Bombyx mori: one gene and its partners. The protein of the gene in region 2 interacts with the protein of the main gene of each other region in a pairwise test. Links are inferred from orthologs where the notes say so. Each region holds a gene or a part of one and is shown on either strand. Other genes may lie near its edges. The genes, in order: ARF GTPase-activating protein Git, Erk and protein phosphatase 1 regulatory subunit 12B.

The links.
Region 1: the proteins of Erk (region 2) and ARF GTPase-activating protein Git interact in a two-hybrid assay, tested with the Caenorhabditis elegans proteins (3 studies listed by BioGRID). The link is inferred for Bombyx mori from reciprocal best matches to the Caenorhabditis elegans genes mpk-1 and git-1.
Region 3: the proteins of Erk (region 2) and protein phosphatase 1 regulatory subunit 12B interact in a two-hybrid assay, tested with the Caenorhabditis elegans proteins (3 studies listed by BioGRID). The link is inferred for Bombyx mori from reciprocal best matches to the Caenorhabditis elegans genes mpk-1 and mel-11.

The regions. Positions count from the first base shown.
Region 1 is NC_085116.1:15,973,816-15,977,472, forward strand, and holds part of ARF GTPase-activating protein Git, read right to left. Parts: intron 3,202-3,657; exon of another isoform or gene 3,184-3,201; coding exon 2,704-3,183; exon of another isoform or gene 1,998-2,703; intron 1,704-1,997; coding exon 1,452-1,703; intron 1,013-1,451; coding exon 836-1,012; 3' UTR 1-835.
Region 2 is NC_085116.1:4,060,141-4,064,503, forward strand, and holds the start of Erk (extracellular regulated MAP kinase), read left to right. Parts: upstream 1-1,484; 5' UTR 1,485-1,719; coding exon 1,720-1,847; intron 1,848-4,363. UniProt on the Caenorhabditis elegans protein: Functions in let-60 Ras signaling pathway; acts downstream of lin-45 raf kinase, but before the lin-1 gene product in controlling vulval cell differentiation. Plays a negative role in proximal germline proliferation in the mitotic zone.
Region 3 is NC_085107.1:4,052,550-4,056,206, forward strand, and holds part of protein phosphatase 1 regulatory subunit 12B, read right to left. Parts: intron 1,927-3,657; coding exon 1,778-1,926; intron 496-1,777; coding exon 340-495; intron 1-339.

The DNA of each region.
Region 1 (3,657 bases), about 12 Mb from region 2:
AATATATATCAAACAGCTAACGTGTATACAGTTTGCTTCAATCCTACATACTATACATATAGATAAAGTCAATCAGATTTAATGTCTCATCAAAACACAAAAAAGAATCGCACATTAAAATCCAAATAAGATTGACATAAGTCGGTCTATATAAACGTCCTTATAACACTAAATTGAATACATTCCGTCTAGCTACTGCTATTTACGTATATCTAAGCGTAAAGCATTATTTATCTTCAAGAACACTGTACACTCTTAACACTTTTAGATCGGACGTTCACCTCGTTCCGAACATCGTGCTCCATAATTCTAAATCATAGGAAGACTTATAAAACATTTAACAACTAAAATTGAAAATTATTAATAATTTTTGTACATTTGTACTTTATCTGTTCCACTCTAGTCGGTCTGTGATCAAGCTACATAAACATAGACACGAAAGGCTCCGTAAAGCGGAGACATTTGACTTGTTAACCAACATAAATGAATTATCGTAACTACACAGGTATGAAGCTACCGAGCCGCCATGTTTGTTTACTAAATTGGACAATTATGAAAAAAAAAATTTTCGGTATAAGATTAAAACTTTGCACATTATTGTGACGTCATAAGTCGTTATACGTTTCTCCTTTCGTCCGACGTTCTAGTTCTTTAAATATAATTATTATTATTTGTGAACCGTAGAGTGTCACAGAGCACCCATCTCATCGCGTCACTTCGTAAGTGTTGTCCGGCTTGTCCACCTCCACAGACGTCTTAGCGCACTATTATGTAAGTTCCATGAGGTGAGGGGGGGCGCACGCTACACGGTGGTGTAGTGCGCGTAGTGCGGTCGCTAGGAGGAGGGGGCGGGGGGGAAGTGGGTGAGCAGGAGCTTGGTGGCCTTGGCCAGCTCGTAGGCCGCCGCCCGCAGCTCCGGCAGCGGCGCCGCCGAGTCGCACGCCGCCGACACGCCCTCGCTCGCCGCGCGCAGCCCCGCCAGCACCGCGCCCAGCTCGCCGCCTACACAGTCCTGCGACAACTAGACTGTTACTGCGGGTTGTTAGGCCGTGTTTTACGCCCGCACGGATGGGCACTACAATCGGTTTGAAAAATGACACAGAAGTCCTCAATTCAATGGAGACTTCAATCTCAGGCTACGGGTTCGCTACAGGCGCCAGATCGTAGATTAAGGTAGCCCATACGAGACTGCGACGACAGCGAACTCTGTTCATTGCGGCTTCTATTTGTATCAGGATGGGCAGCAGACATGGGACATTAAATTAATGGGCTTGAATTTTGGAAACAAAAATGTGGCATCAGACAATTGTAAACTTAACGCATCAAGAGATCGTTCTCGAAGCCGACAAAGAAACAATGTTAATTTACTAATTTCTGCATAAGTTCTTATCGTATTAGTCAACCGCAGTCCACGTGTAACGAGGGTAGGTGTAGGGCAGCAGGGGACCGACCTGCGGGAACAGCGCCAGCAGCGCGCCCACGGCCCGGCGCGTGTCGCGGGCCCGCTGCTGCACGCCGGACTGTGCGCCAGACAGCGCGCCGGACTGGTGGCGCCGCGCCGCCGCCCACAGCTGCTGGATGCCGCGCGTGACGCTCTCGGCGCGCTTGTGCACCAGATCGGCGCTCGGAATTATGTCTTCCGGGCTGGCACCCTCCAAAACGCTCTGGGTCAACGAACGATCGAAACTCGACAGGGTTGTCAGCTGAAATAAATCAGAATTAATTTGGCAACACTGAACTTGGTCGGACTTCTGTGATCGTAATCATAAGATCTAAAGCCGTCGTCACATAAAGGATAAGATGCCTGATGCATTCGTATCTTCTAAACAACTTCTAATAAAAATATGGACTTTACTGGTGGCAGGAAATCCTGTGAATCCGCAAGGGTAGGTACTACTACCCTGTCTATTTCTGCCGTGAATCAGTAATGCGTTTCGCTTTGAGGGGTGGGGCAGCCGTTATACTACATAACCGAGAATTAGAACTAATTTCTTCAGGTGGGCTGGCAACATTTACGTTGTCGATGTCTATGGACTCCAGTAACTACTTAACACCAGGTGGACCGAGAGCTCCTTTACTCATCTAAAAAAAGGTATGGATTTTTTACAAAAACATAAAGAATGTCGTGGACTTGTTCTACAAGTATTTATCAATTTAGTGAGTTTTCAAATTTGTACTAAAATATTATGTTTTACAAAAATATTCAGATATTTAAAGCAGACAAAAATAAACCCTAATTATTTGTCGAGTATTAGTACTACTGTTTGTAAGAACTATCTACAAATTTCCCATCAGTTTTGTTCAAATTACTCATACAAGGGTGTAAAGGAACAGTTTCCGAAACTCAAAGAGCATTGCACGTAAAGAGGTTTAAGATAAAAAATTGTGAGGGTTAGCCATTTTCCTCCGCCAGGCGGCAGTAGGCGGAGGCAGCCGACAGAACCTTCTGGAAGCCCCGCCCCAGTATTCTCTACGAAAGCAGCGCACGCCCTCGTTTTCGAGAACTGTTCCCGTACTGTATTTATAAGACAACATTTTTAAACAAAGTCCATAACAAATTTTAAATCAAGTCGTCTAGTAAAATTATTTATTCAAAATTAACAATTCTAATGCAAATAGGCTCATATAAAAAAAAACAAAAGTGTTGCCTTATAAACTGTATTAAAAACTACTAAATTAGTATAATTAATATATGATTAGTACCTGGTGTTTAGTAACCTGCCAGTTATTCTTTGGGCCTTCCCTAGTCTCATACATACTGACCGGTCGCTGCGAGCCCTTGGCCGGCCTCACGTCGACCTCGCGGCCCAGCTCGGACTCGAGACTCTTGCCGCGCTCCTGCGCCGCGAAGCCATCGAGACCACTACAGCTCTCCCCGGTCAGTGACGTCACACTGTCGTCATCGATGCTGCTCGTCTTCAAAACGCTGTTCTCTTTAGTCAATCTCTCGACTATGGTTTGTAGATTCCTCAACTGAGTTTTTAGCTCGTCTATGGTCGAGTCTTTGTCGTGCAGTTCTTTTTTTAAATGCTGTATCTGGTCGTCTCGTTCCGGCGTGGCCTGAGCCGGACAGCTGGGCGACTGGGTGCGGCGCGGGTCGGCGATGGGTGACTGTTCAGTGGGCAAGCCCGGGCTGTACGTCGCCGACACGGCGTCCCCTCGCCGCGGGGTCACTGTCGATAGCTGTTGATTACGGAGAGGGTAAGGTCGCTTTCAGACCACGCTATAATATAATAGCATATATTATATAGCTCATAGCACAACAATATCGTGCGCCATACATTGTTATAGACACGTTCACGCTGTACTGTACTATATATTATTGGCTAAGTATACGCTGCTATACTATATGGCAATATAGTATAGCGTTGTCTGAAAGTAGCTTTAGGCATTTGGTGTTTATGCACGCACGTCTATCGCTCCAAAGCTTTTTATATAGCTTCAGTAAATGAATCATAAATTTGAAGAGCTTAGTCATTGTCGCTTAACTTTGTCGTCGTTAAAATTCAACAAAAACTACTATACTTTTCTACTGATCAAGAGAATAGATCTATAGTTAAATTAAGGCTCGACCACCGCCCTGCCTATTTCTGCCGTAAAGCAGTGATGCGTTTCGGTCTGAAGGGTGGGGCAGCCGTTGTAACTGTACTGAGACCT
Region 2 (4,363 bases):
TTGTGTCGCTTCCATAGATAATAATACACTTAAAACTTAAAACTGTATCATGTTTTCGAGTTAGACAAAAATTAAAATCAATGCAAGAAAAAACAATTAAAATGTTTTGGGTTGTTCAGAATCGATTTACCAAGCAAAACCATTTTTACAAATATACAGCCACGTAAAATCTTGAAGAACTATGAATTGTTGTTATTTAAATTTTAAATAATCGACTAATATCTCGAGCTCACCAAATATTGGATAAAAATTGCCGAGAGTGTGTTATAGTAGAGCTGTACAATTGTATTAAAGTAGATTGAAAGATTGAATCTATATTTAAAAAAATGAATTGCTGTTCGTTAGTCTCGCTAAAAGTGGAGAACGGCTGGACCGATTTGGCTAATTTTGGTTTTGAATTATTCGTGGAAGTCCAGGGAAGGTTTAAAAGGTGAGAAAATATAAAAAAGCTCGGAATTATATAAAAACAAACAATTTTGTTTTTCCTTTGATGTGTCCCCTTGATGTGTCTTTTATTTATCGATTGAGGCAATACGAAGTCTGCCGGGTCAGCTAGTCTTCAATAAATATGGTAGAATATAGTAACAGTGATAATTTTTTTTTTTGGAGTTTACCGCTTGTTATCTAGACCTTTAGGCCATGTGAGAGTGAATATAAGCATAGAGGGCTGCCAGATACTAAAATTAGCTACAAAATGTTTTAATTTGCTAGCCTTGTGTATTAACGGTATCAAGCAGTATTTGACGGTAAGCAGCGGCTTGGCTCCGCCCTTGGCATTGCTGACGTCCATAAGTGACGATGACCACTCACCATCAAGGGGGCGGTATACTCGTCGGCCTACAAGCACCATAAAAAGTATATGTCTAAATCATATTTTGAAAAAACTGTGAAACGAGTGGCCGTGTGTACTTTAAGCAATTAAAGTTATATTTTTCAGTAGATTTTGAGAAACCTCATTTTACAATGCATTTCTTTATTGTACACACAGTTACAATATAATAATTGCGAAAAGTTATAAAATGGCGAGCTTAACTCAACAATTGAGTTATCTACCAGCTAACCGTTCTTAAAGAGAGCTTTACATAGGTGGGTAGAAGAGTACAATCTAATCAATTTACTTATTGGTACAATACAATAATTCAATAATAATTCTTCCCTTAGTTCACTCAATAATAGTTGATAATGTAAAATATCAAGATATCGAGTATTTCAGTTCTGTCTATTTATTACTTCTGTGTGGAGATTAGAATAACTGCTAACACAAAAGTTAAAGAGTAAAATAATAAAAGTTAAAGTGTAAAAACTACTGAAATCTAGTTTTCTTTTATTGAAGAAAAATTTAAAAAATTGCAATCATATGTCGTTATACATAATTCAAATAATGTTGTATGTAGTTCAAACCTAGTGGTACATAATAAGGTAGTTGTACTGGCATCCCTGGTGTTCTATGGTGATGTGATTTGATGCAGATTACAGAAAAAAATCCAGTTCATTTTTCTAACGGTACTGTCGCGGCACAGGAGTGTCCGTAAAAGTCGGACGGGCCTCGAAAATGATAAGCGAGTGACAAGTGAACGATTGTTCTGTGGATAATGTAGGTCGCCGCAGTTTGTTGTCATAATTGATGTGAATAACTGATCCCGTGTCCGAAGGAATATATGCTGGCGACGCCGGTGGTCTGAAGAATTTGTGTGTTTAGTGGATCACTAGTTTTAAACCATGGCTGAAGCTGCAGGTGCTGCCAGCAGCAACCCCAACGCTGAGATTATTCGTGGCCAAGTGTTCGAAGTTGGTCCACGGTACACAAGTCTGCAATATATAGGCGAGGGAGCTTATGGAATGGTTGTGTAAGTAATCTGCTAATTGAAACTTTGTTCCCTAATGTCAGCTCTATAACAGAACACCGGCCCCTATCTAAATTGAAGTATATTTTCCTGTTAATAAGCTGCTCTAAATGTTGTCAATGTCTTTGAACACAATTACTTCAAATTTGTTAATGCTTGTTGTTTTGTTTTGTACTTGAGACAATGTTTATTAGAAGTATTTTGAAACTTTGCTTAAAGTTTGAAATCTTTTATAATTACCTCAATAGTTAGCTATCTGATGATTTTAATAATATGTATGTTAGAAACTAAACTTAAATCAAGATTTGAGACATTTAGTAGACAAATTCTTTGAGTTTTATATAAAGATGGATAATGTAGCTTAACAAATGACTTACAAATTGCTCCATGACATTATATCATATAAAGCTTGAGTGACTGCAATACATAATTTTATATTATTTTTATTTATTGCCCGTATTTGGGCTATTGTATTTCATTACTTTGATTCATAAATAGAAAAATATGTTGATCTTTAATAATAACAAAACTCCTTTTTCAAAAATAATTACTAGGTACTAGATATATTACTGCGATGAATTTTTCATAATGCCACAGTATCTATACTTAATGATCAGTGACTAAAGTTTACTAATTTGAAAAGACTATTGTTAGGTACCTAAGCCAGTGAATAAAAGCTGAAACTTCTTTGAAATTTGATGATATTTGTCCAACAGTTATCTTATCTCGGTTTTATCGATTATCACATTATGTTTTACTTTGTTGTTACTGTTGATAATGACATCATGTCTGACAATAAGTTTTGGATAATTTGATTAATATAATATTAGTTAACAATTTTATATCGTCATATTAAAAATCAATACTGGAGAATTGCATACACTATATTAATATTTAAATCGGAGTATATCTACAATACCATACAAGATAACATTATTATAATAATCTCACTATGAAACCAGAAAACAGAATTTTTAATGGCTGTAGTTATATTAATAGTAATATTTGCACGATGGAGTTTTATAAAAAAATAGATAAAAGGGATTATAAGATGTAAATGTGCAACTTAGGCCTTTTGGAGCTACTATTCAGTACTACTATTTACTACCATATGTTTCAATTGAGTTCAATAATACAACATAACAAACCAGCAGTTTTCCATAACTAAACATCCTTAAATTGTGCCTTCCTTAAATTAAAGTTAGTGTGGGTTGAGGGATCAGCACAAGCACCAGTTTTTAAAGTAACTTCTGTTGCTAGTATTACTACTATACATATATTATAGTATTTATTATATACCAGACGACATATTCAATGAACCTAGAGCCCACCTAGTGGTAATTGGATACTGACAGCTACACTACCATTCAAAAGTTTGAAAACACTAAGGTAATTTCAATAAAAATGTCATTAAAACACCTAAGTCATTATTTATATCACATATTAAAATATATTTAGGGCATAAATAAAATGTAACATAAAATACTTTTCATTAAATTCTTGCTTCATCAAAATAATTCACATAAAATATGTGATATTCATTCTTTTGATTAATTTACCAAAATATTCAGAGTCCAGTAATTTCTATTCATTTTGTAATTATTTCCACCACTGTGCTGAGCTTCATGGACAACGGTTCTTAACTTTTCTAACCAGCTCATTCCATACTAATTAAATGGGAGGGATATCTGGTGACCGATGCACATTTCATCTTGCAAAATTTCTTCCTTTTTTCCCCCACCTATTCGCCCGTAGCCTAAAAGGCTATTCCAGCTAAGCCCAGACCAGTAGGTGAGCTCACGGGCTCAACCTGAGAGAATTTTCTAACACTAGCCCTAGCTCTAGCAAGAGCAGTGCTTCGCAGAATCTACCACTGGATCGCAATTGCGACCCACTGAGAAGATCCGGCGAGAAACCCAGTGGGTTGTGCCTATAGACTAGTTCGCACTTCGAACTCTTCGTCGGAGTCGACGAGTTCGACGAGGACTGTGATCGGTGCATGAAGAGCCTAAAAGCACCGAGAGTGGATCCGGGGGATCCGACAAGACATGTTTTGAGTGACGGCGGCTTTGCTTTGCCCTGTCGCCTGGGTCGGATATACTATAGCTTTCTCCGATCTGGTCGAGCAATAACGGCAGATGTTTGCTGTGCCGAACTCCGAACAATGATAGTAAAACTTGCAGTCAAACAGCCCCGACTCATGAATCGATTTTCATTATTGCGAGACCTCATACAACACGAGAAATCGTTTTAACTCTACAGGAACTGCAATTAGGAACCATTTGTCACCCTCCGTATTCGCCAAACCTTGCTCCAACGGACTACCATTTTTTTCGTCACTTGGACAATTTTCTACGTGATAAAATGTGTTCTTCCCAGGAGGCAGGCTGTACAAGATGCTTTCACACAGTTTGTAGAATCTAGATCACCAGAGTTTATTGCAAAGACATAAATGACCTTCCTATTAGATGACAGCAATGTATACATAATAATGGTAGATATTTTGATTAAATAAGTAT
Region 3 (3,657 bases), on a different chromosome or scaffold from region 2:
TAATAAAGATTTAGAAAAACAAGACTTCAAAATTGTTTTTTTTTTTATTGTAAGAATTTAAATGTATTTATTTCATTTTATTATTTTTTTACGTAAAATCTAGACTGCAGTCATTGTATGCTATGGAAGACATTTAAATATATTTATCCCAGACAGCCGAAAAGAACGCTAACCTGTAACCTGTTTTATGTATATATCTATACTGACATTATAGATAACCCACAGATAACGCCAACAGAGTTCAAAATGTTATTAAATTGAAAATAAACAAATGAACATCAAGTGTTTAGTACTAACCAATTAATTGTAGCAAAATTTAATAATTTTTTTTAATCTAACCGAATAGTTTTTGAGATGTGGATCAGCTCCGAATTTGAGTAGTAATGCTGCCGCCTCCTTTTGTCCCCACAATGCGGCCGCGTGCAACGGTGTCCAGCCCTCGTAGTCAACGCAGTCAGGATCCGCATTACAATCCTCCAGTAGAGTTTTGGCCACCTGCGTATACAAAAAACAATACTTTTTTAATACGCTTTTATTGGCTTCAGACGTATGTATGTATGTATGTATGTTTGTAACGGAATCTTTGAACATGATTATGAACCCCTTCAAAAAATCGGATTAACTCGAAATTTTGTATACTTATTAAGGACCGATGAAAATTTAATGTAAAAAAAAATTAAAAAAAAATTGAAATAATTGAAATTCAACTAAAAAATAAAAAATAGTTAATTAATCATATCTCTTCATTTTTTTATTGCTTGGATTGGTGGACGAGCTCACAGCCCATCTGGTGTTAAGTGGCTACTGGAGCCCATAGACATCTACAACGTAAATGCGCCACCCACCCACCTTGAGATACAAGTTTTAAAGTCTCAGTATAGTTACAACGGCTGCCCCACCCTTCAAACCGAAACGCATTACTGCTTCACGGCAGAAATAGGAAGGGCGGTGGTACCTATCCGCGCGGACTCACGAGTGGTCCTACCACCAGTAAAAATATTAAAATAATTATTATAAAAGCTACTGATATCATGCACCCCACGCTTTTTTACAAAAAAATCATTTTTTTTTACACTATTTTTAATTCAAATTTATTAAAATTTATTTCCTATTTTTAAGTTGGATTTTCTATAAAAGCGTATTTTGTTAGTTTTTTTAAACTATTATTTATTTTTGTATAGCCTGTGTTCTTAGTGCGATTTTTTTAACGTTCTCGATAGCGTAAAAGTTAACTCATATTTGTGTGCAGTTGGAACAGCGCGGGACCTCGTAGGAGGTTCGGCCCACTACCCGAAAAAAAAAAAAGTGCCCCTAGCGGCAAACGTAGGCAATCTTTCCAACTCCATATACGAGTTAACTTTTACGCCATCGAGAACGTTAAAAAAACTCGCTAAGCACAACGGTTTAAGATTCATCTTAAAATGTCTTGACTGTTTCCCCGGTTCTGTTCATCAAACGATCAGATTGGCAGTAAGATGATCGTCTGCACATTTATCCAGGAAAAGGCGCTCCAGAGGCCGAATTAGAATACGCCAGCGTAAATATATTGTAGAGACAACAGGTGAAACTATACTATGTCCTCGGCAGTAAAAAAAATAATTAGAAAGGCTCAATCGAGTCTATTATTTATTTATTTATTTTTATTACTTAGATGTGTGGACGAGCTCACAGCCCACCTGGTGTTAAGTGGTTACTGGAGCCCATAGACATCTACAACGTAAATGCGCCACACACCTTGAGATATAGTTCTAAGGTCTCAGTATAGTTTTATATTTACGTCGATATATCCTTTAGCAGCGGCAACGTGGAGCGGCGTGCCTCCCGTTTTCAAGTCTCGAACTTCAACGTAGCCGTGCAATGCCCATTCTCTGGCGTCACTCATCAGCGTATCAACTTCTGCATTCCTTGACTTCTCACAATCAACGCCTGCAACAAATAAATAAATAAGCTATATGAAAAGATCCCGATCTAGAATTCTTAGCCAGTTTAAGGGTATCTATAAGCATGCGTCACGAGAATATACAGAGCCAAGTTCCGAATGTCAGATATTTTTAATAAAGACTGAAATCGAACCCCTAACTCGTGGGGCAGTAGTCAGACTCAATAAACACTAATATAACGAAATGATCATGTGATCTTTTACAAAACAGGGATCTACGGCCATATGATATTTAAAAAGCTCACGTTAAAAAAAACTACAAATACTCAAAGCCTGTCTGTCGCACTGTCGATGAATTTAGTGGCTCTAACTAGTCTGGGTGAGCCCTGCTCCTGTGATGAGCGATCCGAGAATAAAAAAATACATGTTTGCAATTCACACGTGGTAGAAGTGAAACCCTCAAAAATTAAAATACAATTACCCTAAATGTAAAATTTTGTCATTAGTAAATAATTATAAATCATCTTTTATAGTATGAGGTAGCGCCCTCTGTGAATTGATATTTTAACTTCACGTATAATCCTAAATTAAAATTCACTACAAGAGGTTTCATACACGCGTTAGTATTAAAAACTCTCATAGATGGCGCTGTATTAAACTGTCTCTGTGGACTTATTTTTTCGTTTCATCGAGTTTGAAATCACGATTCTAAAGAAGTTTGACTTCAAAACTTGAGATGACTGGAGCATCTTAAACAATTCCTGAGAGGTTCTCAAGCAATTTTTATTAAATTTCTTTAAGTTTTTTACTGGCTTAGTATTAATTATTTTAAATACTCTTCTACTACAACCTTTAAGATTTTCGATTAAGATTTTTTCGTGACGTTTTTTTTTATATAATAACATGAATAAACCGGGCAAAGCATGCGTGTCTGCGGGCAATTAAAGAAAACAAAACAGCGAAAGGCACTTAGTTATAATTTATTTTCCTACAATTTTTTTTCCATATTAATGAAATGTTTGACTTTTATTCGAGTATTTGAGTACTTGAAGGGTGATAACGTATGTATTCTTGTATTTGATAATTTATGTTCCACCAGTGTATTGAGCGTTTAGTACTTGTGAGAGTGCACAAGGGAAACAAAATCGCAAGACATGGCTTCATGAGTGTTATAAAAGGTTTAATTACTTATATCTGTGTTCGTATAAAATGTTTAACCCTCGTTGTTTTCCGCGATATACTTATGAACTAATGAACCGATTGAAGTGAAATTTGCATTTTATGTACAGTTTGGGCCAACTTCGTTCAACCCAACAGTCAGATCTCAATTCATGATAACAATATTTTCAATTTTTCAATTTATTTGTTTATTAAATGACAAATGGCCATTGTTGTATATGAGGTCTGAGTTAGTTTCTAAGAGATGGTGGTGTAAGCTAACATATCGACATGATGCTTAATTGTCCAGGTTGGGTAAGTAAGTATCTAATAGATGGCGCTGTATTCAAACGTTTAATTGGTACAATCTGCATACATGTTGAAATAATCACGAATCTTTGTCCTCTATGCGTTACTGAACCGCAGATCTTAATGTGGTGAAACTAGGTACGGTTGAAATTGCCGCTGTAGGGAAGGTTTCTGTCATAATACCATCAACGTACAATGACGCGTGAACAATTTCAAGAGATCAATACTTCTCATACAAATTTTCAAAGTAAAGCGCGACCGGGTTTACTAGTCATTTGAGTTATTTTATAATTAAATGTGTCTAATTATAA